Linked DNA regions of Oryctolagus cuniculus. The protein of the gene in region 2 interacts with the protein of the main gene of each other region in a biochemical or structural test. Links are inferred from orthologs where the notes say so. Each region holds a gene or a part of one and is shown on either strand. Other genes may lie near its edges.

Region 1 (6,911 bases), on a different chromosome or scaffold from region 2:
CTGAAAAGCCCACGAGAGCATTTCAGGCATGGAAATTCCAGACGCTGGAGCAAAGAATGTCTTACGTGAAGGATCTCGGTGGGTGAACTCCAGCGGACAGAAGTGCTCATCAAAGGAGGCACTTTAACTCTGAAGGGAGGAGAGAACTTCCACTTTGCTTATGGCTTGTCTAAACGCTGATGGAGTTTGTGGATTCAAGGCTTCCACAGCCGAGGCAGCTCATGTCAAGAGCCCCGGGTGATCACTGACATCATACAGAGCGTTAATTGTTAATTAAATCACTGTGTACCAACTTCCCATGCAGGACCTCTGTCCTCAGTGAGTTGTATTATAACTACGTCTAAGTGCTCCTAAAAGATGTATCATTCTTGGATGCTTCCTTAAAGTTAATTAAACTTCTAAAAAAATGAAATTAACTTCAAGATGCCATGGCTCTGAACAACCTTGTCTCGACAGCTGAGGACAAATTATTGAACTCTTTACTTAGAACAGAGCTGGTCTTCTGTGTATAAAGTTGATTGAAAAATGGATCTTAGTGGAGAATGAGACTGGGGATGGGAGAGGGAGGAGGAGGAATGGGAGGGTGGGTATGGTGGGAAGAATCACTGTATTCCTGAAGTTGTGCTTATGAAATGCATGAAGTCTGTATTCCTTAAATATAAGGTTTCCTTGGGGGGAAAATAAAAACAAAAAAAAAAATCTACTGCTCTTCAAAGGACATACTTAAGAGAATCAAGACAAGCCACAGACTGGGAGAATATTATTGCAAAGCCAATATCTGATATAACATTTGTCCAAAATATGTAATAAGCTTACCCACTCAATAACAGAAAAGAAACTCAATGAGAATGAGAAAATCTGAAGACAGTTCATCAAAAACACTCACAGAATAGCAAATGAGCACACAGGGACTTAGTAAATGGTGCCACCGCTTTGAAAAGCAAGAAATTTATTTATTTATTTATTTATTTATTTATTTTTGACAGGCAGAGTGGACAGTGAGAGAGAGAGACAGAGAGAAAGGTCTTCCTTTGCCGTTGGTTCACCCTCCAATGGCCGCCGCACCGCGCTGATCCGATGGCAGGAGCCAGGTGCTTTTCCTGGTCTCCCATGGGGTGCAGGGCCCAAGCACCTGGGCCATCCTCCACTGCACTCCCTGGCCACAGCAGAGGGCTGGCCTGGAAGAGGGGCAACCGGGACAGAATCCGGCGCCCTGACCGGGACTAGAACCTGGTGTGCCGGCGCCGCTAGGCGGAGGATTAGCCTAGTGAGCTGCGGCGCCGGCCACAATTTCTTTATTTTTTTTAAGATTTATTTATTTATTTGAAAGAGTTACAGACTGGCAGAGGCAGAGGCAGAGAGAGCGGTCTTCCACCTGCTGGTTCACTCCCTAAATGCCACAACGGCCAGAGCTGGGCCAATCCAAAGCCAGGAGCCAGGAGCCAGGAGCTTCTTCCAGGTCTCCCACGTGGGTGCAGGAGTCCAAGGACTTGGGCCATCTTCTACTGCTTTCCCAGGCCATAGCAGAGAGCCGGATCGGAAGTGGAGCAGCTGGGACTCCCAGAATGTGAGCACTGAAGGCTGTGGCTTTACCAGCTACGCTACAGTGCCGCAGTGCCGGCCCCGGAAATTTCTTATACAGTTGAACAAGTATTTTTCCACGGGACCCTGGGGATCTACTTCCAGAGGAATGAGAATGTTTGTTACGTTATTTGTAACCCAAAACTTGATACCCAAGTGTCCATTAACTGGTGAAGAATAAGCCAAACACAGTACACCCAAGCAGGACAGGAATACAAAGAAACAAATTATGGGGACCCAGCTCCAGTTGGAGTCCCAGCTGCTCCACTCCTGACCAGCTCCCTGCCAATGCTCCTTGGAAAACAGTAGATAGCCCAAAGCCTCGGCCTGTGCCTCCCACATGGGAGACCCTGATGGATTTCTAGGGCCCTGGCTTTCGTCTGGCCCAGCCATCTGGGGACTGAACCAGCAGACAGAAGATCTCCGTATTTGTCTCTTTCCCTCTCTCTCTGGCTCTATCTTTCAAATAAATAAATAGTAAACAAGCTAATTACTATCACATAGTGTGCATGGATTTCAGAAGTATCGTGGGTATGTGTGTGGTGCTGTGGGCGAGAAGCCACCTGTGGCACCTGAATCGCCCATCAGAATGGCTGGGTCTGAGTTGTGACTCCACTTACAATTAATTCTAGCTTCCGCTAACGCGCAGTCCGGGAGGCAGCAGATGATGGCTGGAGTTCTTGGGCTCTGCTACCTGTGTGGGTGACCCAGATGATTTCCTGGCTTCAGCCTGGCCCAGCCCCTGCTGTTGTGGACAGCTGGGGGAATGACCCAGCACGTGGAAGAACTCTGCCTCCGTCCCTCCTCTCCCTTTCAAATACAATGAGAGTAAACAATTTTTTTAAAAGTTCCACCCTAAGCAAAAAAAAAAAAAAAAAAAAGTCAGACATGCAAAACGCATGATTCTATTTGGATGAGATTCCAGAAACAGCAAGCTATGGGGACAGAAAACAAGTAAGTAAAGACGATGGAGCTGGTTGGGAGGGGAGACACGTCCACATCCGTAACAACTTAGTAAGACCCAAGTTACACATCCTATGTAAACGATGAGAGAACGGCTTAGAGAGACGCAGAGGCCGGCCAGTTCACACGCGCCCTGTCACGCACACACGCACACAGGCGCGGGGGGGGGGCTCCAGCTCCAAGCACAGGTATCCCTCTCACGCCCAGTGCTCCGTATTCGCGCTGGGATCCATTACGTGCGACGAGGTGTGGAATTTTCCACTTGTGTCACCACGTCGGTGCTCAGTGTCAGGTTCTGGAGCATTCCGGGAGTTTGGATAAGGGAGGCCCCGGCAGGGTGGGTGGCGGGACACGCAGGGGGCCTACAGGCCCTCCGTGGCACTGCGCAGCGCCGCTAACGTCACGCAAATACACCCACAGCCCAAGGCTTTGCAGGGAAAACTCGCACAGCTCCCCGCACATCGGGGGGAAGCGCGCTCCCGAGGGGCCGCCAAGTGGCTTCCAAGTTCCCCACGCGGCGCGCCCCCGGCCGCTCCTCCCGACCCCGGACACGCAACGGCGAACCGCATCCAGACGCGCGCGGGCCGTCCCCGCAGCGGGCACTTTACATAAGCGCGGCCCGCGCGAAGGCCGCGCGGTCACGTGCCGCCCGCGCCCGCGCCCGCCGCGGCCCCGGGCCACTCGGGCCGCTCACCTGGTACAGCTCCTCCAGGTTGTAGCGGATGGAGGTGCTGCCCTGGATGGCCCGCACGGCCTCGTGCAGCTGGCGCCACGTGTCCTGCGTGTAGTTGTCGGGCAGCTGCGGCCTGTCTGTGGAGAGCGCAGGGTCAGGCGCGGCCGGCCGCCCCGCGTCCGCGCCGCCCCGCGCCCCGCGCCCCGCGCCCGCCAGGCCGCACCTCGGAAATTCTTGATGACCAGCTTCCTGGAGCCGCCCGCGCCGCCCGGCTTGTTGGGGCCGCCGGCCAGGCCCGCGGGCTTGGTGAGGCCGTTGGTGCGGCCCACGAGGGCCGAGACGCCGGCCTTGCGCGGGGCCTCGTCCGCCATGGCCGCGGCCGGACGCCGCCCGACCCGCCCGGGCACGCCGCCCCGCGCCCCGCGCCCCGTGCGCCCGGCTCCGGCCCTGTCCGCCCGCGTCCGGCGCCGGCTCCGGCTCCCGAGCCTCCGTCCGGGCCTGCGCCGAGGCCGCCCCGCCCCGCCCCGCCCGCGCCCCGGAGCCCAACCGCCGCCGCCGCCGTCGGCCCGGCCCGCCCCTCCCGCCGCCGGGCGCGGGACGCCGCGCTCAGACTCCGGGGCGCGCGCGCCGGGCCGCGCGCCGGGCCGCCCCTCCCCTCGGGGGCGCGGGGCTGCGCGGGAAGCCGGCGCCGCGGAGCCCGCCGCACCCCGCGGCCGCCGGCGCGGCGGCGCGCGCCCGGACCCCCGCCGCCCCACCGAGGGCGGGCTGAGGAGGGGGCGCGAGGCCGCCCTCCATCTTAGTCTGCGGGCGCGCGCGCCGGCACCCTGTGTGTGGACTCGGGGGCGCGCCCGGGCCGGCTGCGGCCGCGAGCCGAACGTCGCTGCGGGGAGTGCTTTTCACGAGAGGGGTCGCGGGCCCCAGCGCGCGAGGCGAGCGGCGCCAGACCCCGGCCGCCCTCCACCGGGCTCGGCGCCGAGCTGCCGGGGCGGCGCTTGCGGCGCACGTTGTGGCCGGAACCAATGTGCGAGCGACGCTGGCGTCGGGGGGCGCCTGGCGGTGGACGGACCGCCGGCCGGAAGTGACGCGCGGCCTGACGCGGGCGGACCGGGCGCAGGCTGCGCGGCGGCCGCGCCATGGCGCACATCACCATCAACCAGTACCTGCAGCAGGTGGGTGCTGGCGGGCGCTGCGTGGCTGCTGGCGCAGGGCCGCCGCACCGAAGCGTGTCCGTGTGCGGGGTGCGGGGAGCCCCGGGCGGCCCGCCTCTGCCGGAGGCCACTTCCCTCGGGTTTTCCCAGGGGGCGGCGCCGGTACGGTCGCTCAGCCGCGGGTGTCCGGGGTTCTGGAACGCTTTAGAAGTGGCGGGTTGTCGACGCGGGATGGCGGCCGGATGTAACATGCGGGGGAGAACGCGGGTCGGCGGGACTTGGGCTCCTACCGCGGCCTGCGCGCTGGCTCTGCGGCCAGGGCGCGCGACCCCGCGGCCGCGATCTCCTGGGAACGGGACCCGTGGGAGCTGGGGGAGTTAGAGCCCCACGGCATCTGCCCCTGGTGAACCTCGCCCCGCCTTGCGTGTCTGACGCTGCAGCTGCAGGGCACAGAAGCGGCCACACCGAGGCTCTGGGCTCAGACGGCGCCGCCGGGACGCGCGGGCCCGGGCTCTGGTCGCAAGGCCGTGTTTTCAGCATTGAGTTTTCCAAAGGATGATGTTTCTTGGCGCGTCGGACTGCGAGCGTAGGGACCTTGTCCACCTGCACCCGCCTCCATTCCTGATTTCAGCACCCTGTGATGGGTTCCTAGTAGCTCTGGGGAGGAAGTGGGTCTGACTTTCCCTAGGGCGGGAGAGATTGCCTACTGCTGTGTCTTGGGTTCTCGGGACAGAGCCCAAGGACCTAGGTATTACTCCGCACAGCAGACCCCGTGGTGTCAGCATATTGGCATCGTTCTGGGGTGTGCGTTTTTTTTTTTTTTTAATCTCAAATCCCACAGGGGTCAAGTGATGACCCAGGTGGGTACAGGCACTTGGAACCAGGAGGGGAACTCTGATCTTGATTACCAAGCGGCTTTATTTTATTTTTTGGGGAAAATCAGTTTATTTAACTCAAACAGTAGCATTGCAACAGCTCATTTCAGGAGATCAAACATCTGCCAGACCCGAATTGAACTTCGTGTCAGTGGTGTGCACACAGCTAGGACACCCTGTTCCGACAGCGCCGGCGCAGGGGAGCTCTTCCCAGCACAGGACTGCTGATCGCCTCTTGAGATTCCAGGCCACGCCTTCACTTTGACCTCTGACTCAGAGGAATCCGTGGGCTGCCCTGGCTGGGCTCCCCCAGGCTCCTGGTGAGGGAGGTGGGCTCAGCCGTCCTTCCCACGCAGCAGCCCCCGGTGACGGCATGACGCAGCGCGTGCCCACACCTGGCCAGCGGCAGTGGTTGCCATCTGGGCCATTGGCCTGGCTGTCCAGGTGCAGCAGCAGGGGAGCCAGCTGCAGACGGTGGGGCTGCCACGGTGGCCGTGCTGCTGGTGCCAGCCTCAGTGCACGCCTCCGCCGAGCGCCAGGCGTCTGGAAGTGGGAGCTCTCCTATCAGTTTGCCAGCGAGTCTGCCGCTGTCCAGGGCCAGGCCTGGAGGGAGGCACTGCTGTGTCTCCAGGCATCCTGCTGCCTAAGCAACCCTAGTCACAGCCCGAGTCAGGAGGGACGCGGGGCCCTGCAGCGCCTGTACTGCCAGCAACTGTCAGAACCCAGGAGGCCCCAGGAGGGGGAGGGGTGTCGTCCCCCCCCAGCTCATGGCTACAACGTCTCCTCTTCTTGAGGCTCCAGGTGTCAGCACCCAGCTCAGTTTCTGTCTGAGGCCGGAGAAGCTACAGTAACTCATCTTAGTGTTTCCTTGCCTGTACTTATTCTCATTCATTCTCTCTCTCTCTCTCTTTACTTTGAAAGAGTTACAGAGAGGAGGAGAGACAGAAGGAGAGAGAGAGAGATCTCATCCACTAGTTCACTACCCAAATGGCCTCAATGGCTGGGGCTGGGCCAGGCCAGAGCCAGGAGCTTCTTCCAGGTCTCCCACATGGGTGCAGGGACTCAGGGACTTGAGCCATCCTCTTTTGCTTTCCCGGGCACATTAGTAGGGCGCTGGATTGGAAGTGGAGCAGCCCTGGGACTTGAGGAGTGCCGGCATCACAGATGGAGGCTTTACCTGCTGCGCCACAGCGCTGGCCCCTACCCGTATTTTCTACTTTCAAAAACTGTTGTAAGTACTTAGAGGAAAGTCGGTTGCATATCCTTGTAGATCTGTTCATCACCCGTGATGTCAGAGCTGGTGTCTCTTCCGTGTGTCCCTTGTGTCATGCTTCTCTTCACTCCACACACTTCTGTGTCGCGTGGCCAGTGGCCTCCATTTGACGTCCTGAAATGCCCAGCTGGATGCCGGGTCTGCCTCACACTGGCCTCATGGTTCTCTCTGGGACGGATGCTGTTTCCTGCAAACCTCGTGAGTCAGCTGCCCTGGGAGCAGGGACGTCCCCCCATGATGACCAGGCCTTTAGTGGCCACGGAATTTCCTATCCATGCAATGTTTTCTAATGCAGAATCCCTTTCCTCCTCTCCCCCAGAGTATCCTTTAGAACTCTTAGGTGTTCTGGTCAGGCAGATCACACATTGCTTCTAGTCTGCTTCTAAATATTTATTTGA
Region 2 (6,770 bases):
TCTGGCCGCTGCGGCCAACTGGGGAGTGAATCAGCGGATGGAAGACCTCTCTCTCTCTCTCTGCCTCTCTGTAGTTCTGACTTTCAAATAAAATCTTAAAAAAAAAATTTTTTTTTAAGATTTATTTATGGCCGGCGCCGCGGCTCACTAGGCTAATCCTCCACCTTGCAGCGCTGGCACACCGGGTTCTAGTCCTGGTCAGGGCACCGGATTCTGTCCCGGTTGCCCTTCTTCCAGGCCAGCTCTCTGCTGTGGCCCGGGAAGGCAGTGGAGGATGGCCCAAGTGCTTGGGCCCTACACCCCATGGGAGACCAGGATAAGTACCTGGCTCCTGGCTTCGGGTCAGCGCAGTGCGCCGGCCGTGGTGGCCATTGGAGGGTGAACCAATGGCAAAGGAAGACCCTTCTCTCTGTCTCTCTCTCTCACTATCCACTCTGCCTGTCAAAAAAAAATTTTTTTTATTTATTTGAAAGTCAGAGTCACACAGAAAGAGGAGAGGCAGAGAAAGAGAGATAGAGAGAGGTCTCCCATCTGATGGTTCACTCCCCAATTGGCCCTAATGGCCACAGCTCTGCTGATCCAAAGCCAGGAGCCAGGAGCTTCTTCCAGGCCTCCCACGTGGGTGCAGGGGCCCAAGGATTTGGGCCATCTTCTACTGCTTTCCCAGGCCATAGCAGAGAGCTGGATTGGAAGTAGAGCAGCCAGGTCTTGAATCGGTACCCATATGGGATGCTGGTGCTTCAGGCCAGGGCATTAATCCACTGCGCCACAGCACCGGCCACCCAAAAAAATTCTCAATCCAGGGCACCAGCATCCCTTATGGACACTGGTTCATGACTTGGCTGCTCCACACAACCTTCCATTTATTTTAGTTCATCTCCAGGTAACTTACAATGCCTAATACAATGTAAATGCTATGTAAACAATTGCGAAGCTGTATGGGTTAGTGAATAATGACAAGGAAAAAAAGGATATATTTGTCCAGTACAGACATTAAAAAACGCATATGTATTTCTGATCCGCAGTTGTCTGACCCCACAGATAGGGCGGAGTGTAAATCTCGCCCAGCAAAAATTAGCTCATGTAGGATATTTTAGGTCAGAGTTTACTTTCTTCCATTCACTATGTCTGCCTTGGAGTTCTGAGTATGAGACGGGAGATACAGAAGAGTACACAGCATCTCTGTGTCCAAAATTCACTCTAAAAGCGTCCTTGCCATCCTTAAGATTGTGTGGAGTGGACTTATTCCAAGAGCTGGGTATGCATGTAGGACTTCAGAAAAAACTACTTTCCTTCCAACACCCCAGTGGACTAAACACAAAAGGCCTCACACATGCTGTGCTTTGTGTCTCCTGGTGAGGAAGGAAACTGGCCACTTCAGGATGGCCACAATCCCTGTAGCCTCTCAACCTCCTCCCACCCTCCTCCAGTTACTTACAGAGATCCATAATGTGGTTCCTGCAGATGGCACAGTTATCAACCACAATATCCCAGGCCCAGAGGGCTACTGCATTCCACTGCAAAGAGAAAAAGGGGGAACAATGCGCTCTCCTTGTAATGTCACGCACACACGCGCTTCCTGCTGCAGCTGCAGTTACCCACCTGGGCCACAGGGACCACCAGACAAAAGAGTTTTTGGATGTTACATTATTCTCATTTATTATATTAGGGGACAACTGGAAGCTATATGTAGGCTGGCCCATTCTCCAAAGGTTTGGTATAGGAATACAGAAATGAATGAGTCACCTTTTTTATTTCTTTTCCCTACAGTTTAAAATAATTTAGTCAGTCATATCAATGTAGGCCAAGTTAGGAATAGTTTTTCAGTGCCTGCTTTAGGATTAATAAGCACAAACTTGAATTCCTGTGAAGGTTTTTCTGGCAGCTGCAGGGCTCAAAATCTGCATAAACATCAGGAGCGGGAGGTGAACGCTAGGGACAGGATGAACTAAGACGATGACTGGATAATAACGTGGGTAATCGTGGGATAAGCTGGATAACTGGTGACCCAGGGTGGGTACCCAGAACAAGGTCATCGCTTGAACCTCACGCCGTCACTTCCAAACGGCAGAATTTACTAGAATCTTTCGTTCTTATCAAATAAGCTGATGTTCTCAACTTTCGTATGTTGCAACTCTAACATGTAGTAAATTCCAGTAAGGATTTATCTTAAAAAAATTATGAGAAACAACTTCCAAACTCCCCTTTCACCCACTGTCTGGCGCCGCCACCCAAGCCTTCATCTCCTTCCAGGCCAGCTCTCAGGTCTAGGAACTTCGCCAGCACTCTCCACACCTCAGCTCCAACTTGGAGAAGCCCCGAGTCCGCAACATGGCTGCTGGCAGCAGGCGGGCAGCGGCGGCCACAATGAGACGCCGAAACGCACTCGGAGGGCCCGGCGTCCGCGCCTGGACGATGGTCCAGGAAGCGCAGCTCCCCTAGGTCGGAACCTTCATTGTCCAGATTTATTTCACCTTAGGTGGGAATCGACACTTTTCTCCAGAGCTGCCGGCTCGGGGAAAGCAGTGAGGGGGCAGACCTCACGCCAAAAAGAAAAAGAAAAAGCCGCGTCTACATGTGTTCCTGCCCCCGTCTCCGCCAGGCCGCTCGGAGCCAGCACGCGATCCTCCGCGAACGGCACGAGACTGGGACATTTTCTTTTCAACAAATTCCACCATGATTTTTTTTTTAAAAATGTCTTTTGGAGGGAGATTCTGGACGTGACACCACAAGGCTGGGGCGGCTGTGTGACAAGCCGACACACGACCCCCCAAGAGCCAAGCTGCACACTCCGGGCGGGGGCCGGGCCCGAGAGGGGCTAACGGAGGGACGAGTCGGGGACCCTCCACGCTTCAGACAGGGGCGGGGCGGGGAGGTCACCAGCCGGGCTCCTCAGAGGCCTCCAGTGCGGTAAGAGCTCAGGTTCTCGGCTTTCGCCACACCACCCCATCCTCCACCCGCCGCAGCGCTCCGACTCCCCTTCCACCCACCCCGCCCGGTCCTTCCCCCCACCCCTCAGCCGCTTCAGTGACAGCTCCGGCGCTTGGCTCCCGCAGCCCAGTCGCAACCCCGCGCATCTCAATAAGCACCTCCGTGATTGGCCCCTCAGCCTCAAAGCGAACTCAACATTGCGCTCGACAGTGGGCCGCCGTCACGCCGATCAACGCTAAGGCCCGCCCCCCGGCTTCCTTTCGTGGTACCCGGTCCTAGGAACGCCCTGAATTGAAGCCCTTTCCTCCGCGCCTCGGTCATCCAAGGGCCTGCCAGCCAGATCCGCGCCTCTCTAGCTTCCCCGAGGAAGGCGCTGGCGAGACCCAACCTTTTTCACTTCAAAGCGCTTCTTGCCCGCGCCGCTGTTGGTGCCGCTCGGGGTATCCACATCCATCGCTGCCGCCATTTTGGAAACACACGATCTGTAGTCCGGCCAATGCGCCTGCGCAGTAGCGCGCGCCTCGCTTCCCACCCACCCCCTGACGCCCGGGCGCCTCCTCCCGCACCCCTCCCCCGACTGGCGCGCGAGGGGCAGATGGAGGCGGAGCCCATGGCCACGCCTCTTAAAGGCGCTGGCGCAGGCCTCCCCCCTCACGTCGGCCGGGGAGGAGGCGGCGGCCGGAGGGGCCGGGGCGGGGCCGGGCGGGGCCGAGGCGCCTGCAGCGAGCCGAGTGGAAACGTTCGACAGGGCTCGCTCTCGTCGCCCTTCCCCGGGAAGCCCCCGGGCCGCACTGCCTTCGGCCGGGGCGGCGGCGGCTGCTTCCTCCGCCTCGGCCGCCAACCTGGCCGAGGCCGCGGCACCGTTGCTGGTCCGGGCGCGGGGAAGAGGCGGGGGTGGCGCCCCGCGGTGCGGGACTCCACACTGACCTTCTGCGGACCGGCCTGGTCCCGCTGCGGAGCCCAGGCCCCAGCGCCAGTCACCCTGCGAGGCCTGCGGCCGGGGTCTGTCGGGCCCACCAGGCACCGGCTGGCTTCCCCGATGCCCGTTCGGGGAATGCCCAGGGCTTCGACGGGCAAGAGGAGGAGACCCCCGAACGTCCTCCCCAGTGGCGAGTCCGGTCGGCCTGGAGGGCCCGCGTCTTTGTGAGGCAGGCGGCTGCCACCGCTGGCCTCGCCCCGTCTTCTGGTCTACCTCCCTCCAAGCCTGCACCAGGCCTCGCTTCCACGGCTGTAACCGCCCGGGGTGGGGGTCTCACTCCCGCCTCCCGTCTATTTGAAATCTCCCCTCTCGCCTCTCGATCTGGCGCCGTGGCCTCCAACGCGAAGCCGGAGGGACTTGGAATGTTTTCCTTCTTAATCCCAAACAGGAACGACAGACCCCCCGTGAGACTGTGGGAGACCCGAGGGGGTCGCAGGAACCCCACGAAGTTCCTTAGCCCAAGCTTTAAGGAGTCTGGGGTAAAGCTGCCGTTAATTAATGTGTGCCTACGGACCCTTCCTGGAGTTCCTGAAGCCCATGGCAGAGCTTCCGAGGCCCTGGTTATCCATCACCCAACAAATTAACTGGGGGGCATTGTGGCCGCGCGCTTAGCACCCCCCCCCACCTGTGACGCCGCATGCCACGTGGGTGCTGGGTTGAGTCCCGCCTGCTCCACTTCCCATCCAGCTCCCTGCTAGTGCGCCTTGGAAAGCAGCAGAAGGTGGCCCGAGTGTTTGGGTTCCTGGAATTCCTGGCTCCTCAGGCGTTGCAGCCGTCGGAGGAGTGAACCAGCCCATGGAAGAGTTGACTCCGACCTTCCAATAAGTAAAAATCGTAACAACAATAAACTGTATTGCGCCACCCTTGTGGCACAGCAGGTTAAGCCGCCACCTGCCACGCGAGGATCCCACGTGGGTGCAGGTTGGAGTCCCGGCTGCTCCACTTCCGATCCAGCTCTGGGCTAGTGGCCCTGCCACCCACATGGGTGACCCAGATGCAGTTCCAGGCTCCTAGCTTGGACTGCCCCAGCCCTGGGTGTTGTGGCCATCTGGGGAGTGAACCAGGAGATGGAATATCTCTCCCTGTCTCTGTAACACTACCTTTAAAATCAATCGATCGAGCCGGCGCCGTGGCTCAATAGGCTAATCCTCCACCTTGCGGCGCCGGCACACCGGGTTCTAGTCCCGGTTGGGGCACCGGATTCTGTCCCGGTTGCCCCTCTTCCAGGCCAGCTCTCTGCTATGGCCAGGGAGTGCAGTGGAGGATGGCCCAGGTGCTTGGGCCCTGCACCCCATGGGAGACCAGGAAAAGCACCTGGCTCCTGGCTCCTGCCATCGGATCAGCACGGTGCGCCGGCTGCAGCGGCGGCCATTGGAGGGTGAACCAGCGGCAAAAGGAAGACCTTTCTCTCTCTGTCTCTCTCTCTCACTGTCCACTCTGCCTGTCAAAAAAAACAAAACAAAAAAAAATCAATCGATCGATCGAGCAGTCTTTTAAAAAACAAAAACAAAGGTCTTGAGAATGTACTGGGTCCCGTTTTTAAAACAGGAGAGACACAGTGATGAAGGAATCAAATTTCTTGTAGGGAAATAATACATGTCAATAAATAATTACAAAAGGAAATCTTAGGTACCAGTAAGTGCACTGAGGAAAACAAAACAAGGCCATGAGATTGAGGAGAGGGGGAGGCACCATTAACTGGAGTGGTTAGGTAAGGCCTCTAAGAAGAGTGGCATCTAAGCTGGGGTCCTTACAGGGGCCTCAATGGCCCTGGCGATCTGCTTCCCTGTTCAGTTTACATACGCAGGCACACCCTGAGGAACACTGGGATACATTCTGAAATGAGCATTGTGTTAGGTACTTTTGTTGTGTGAACAGTGCAGGTAGACAAAACTAGGTGGTATAAATATATATAGCCTACTACCAGGCCAAATAGTATGGCCTTTTGTGCACAGGTCATGACTACCTCGTGTTACTGTTCCAAACATGTGGAAAATTGTAACACAATGGAAAATGTTTGTGTATAGGCCGGCGCCGTGGCTCACTAGGCTAATCCTGTGCCTTGCGGCGTCGGCACACTGGGTTCTAGTCCCAGTCGGGGCGCCGGATTCTGTCCCGGTTGCCCCTCTTCCAGGCCAGCTCTCTGCTGTGGCCAGGGAAGGCAGTGGAGGATGGCCCAAGTGCTTGGGCCCTGCACCCCATGGGAGACCAGGAGAAGCACCTGGCTCCTGCTTTCAGATCAGCGCGGTGCGCCGGCCGCAGGGTGCCGGCCGCGGCGGCCATTGGAGGGTGAACCAACGGCAAAGGAAGACTTTCTCTCTGTCTCTCTCTCTCACTATCCACTCTGCCTGTCAAAAAAAAAAAAAAATGTTTGTGTATCTAAAATAGAAAAACTACGGTAAGGGGTCAACCTTGTGGCACAGTGGATCAGGCTGGCACATGTGACACCAGCATCCCCTATGGCCATGACTCTTTGGTCATAACATTTAGCTTAAAACACAACCACATGGTACAGCTATACAAAATATTTTTTCTTTGGGGCCAGTGTTGTGGGATAGCAGGTAAAGCTGCCACCTGCGATGCCAGCATCCCATATGGGTGCTGGTTCAAGTCCTGCTGGCTCCACTTCCAGTCCAGCTACCTGCTAACAGCCTGGGAAAAGCAGCAGCAGATGGCTGAAGTCCCTGGGCCTGTGCCATCCATATGGGAGACCTGAAAGAAGCTCCTGGGCCCTGGTTTCAGCATGCCCAGCCCCTGTCGTGGCGGTCATCTGGGAAGTGAACCGGTGGATGGAAAATTTCTGTCTCTGTAACTCTGACTTCCAAATAAATAATTCTTTTAAAAAATATTTTTCTTTTGA

The links.
Region 1: the proteins of RBX1 (region 2) and CUL4A form a complex in vitro, tested with the Homo sapiens proteins (6 studies listed by BioGRID, with this or other methods). The link is inferred for Oryctolagus cuniculus from reciprocal best matches to the Homo sapiens genes RBX1 and CUL4A.

Annotation. Positions count from the first base shown.
Region 1 is NC_091440.1:734,195-741,105, forward strand, and holds the start of CUL4A (cullin-4A), read right to left. Parts: upstream 3,709-6,911; 5' UTR 3,589-3,708; coding exon 3,441-3,588; intron 3,355-3,440; coding exon 3,239-3,354; intron 1-3,238. Other genes in the region: PCID2 (PCI domain-containing protein 2), read left to right, coding at 4,351-4,386. UniProt on the Homo sapiens protein: Core component of multiple cullin-RING-based E3 ubiquitin-protein ligase complexes which mediate the ubiquitination of target proteins. As a scaffold protein may contribute to catalysis through positioning of the substrate and the ubiquitin-conjugating enzyme.
Region 2 is NC_091442.1:117,031,204-117,037,973, reverse strand, and holds the start of RBX1 (E3 ubiquitin-protein ligase RBX1), read right to left. Parts: upstream 3,637-6,770; 5' UTR 3,398-3,636; coding exon 3,320-3,397; intron 1,518-3,319; coding exon 1,439-1,517; intron 1-1,438. UniProt on the Homo sapiens protein: E3 ubiquitin ligase component of multiple cullin-RING-based E3 ubiquitin-protein ligase (CRLs) complexes which mediate the ubiquitination and subsequent proteasomal degradation of target proteins, including proteins involved in cell cycle progression, signal transduction, transcription and transcription-coupled nucleotide excision repair.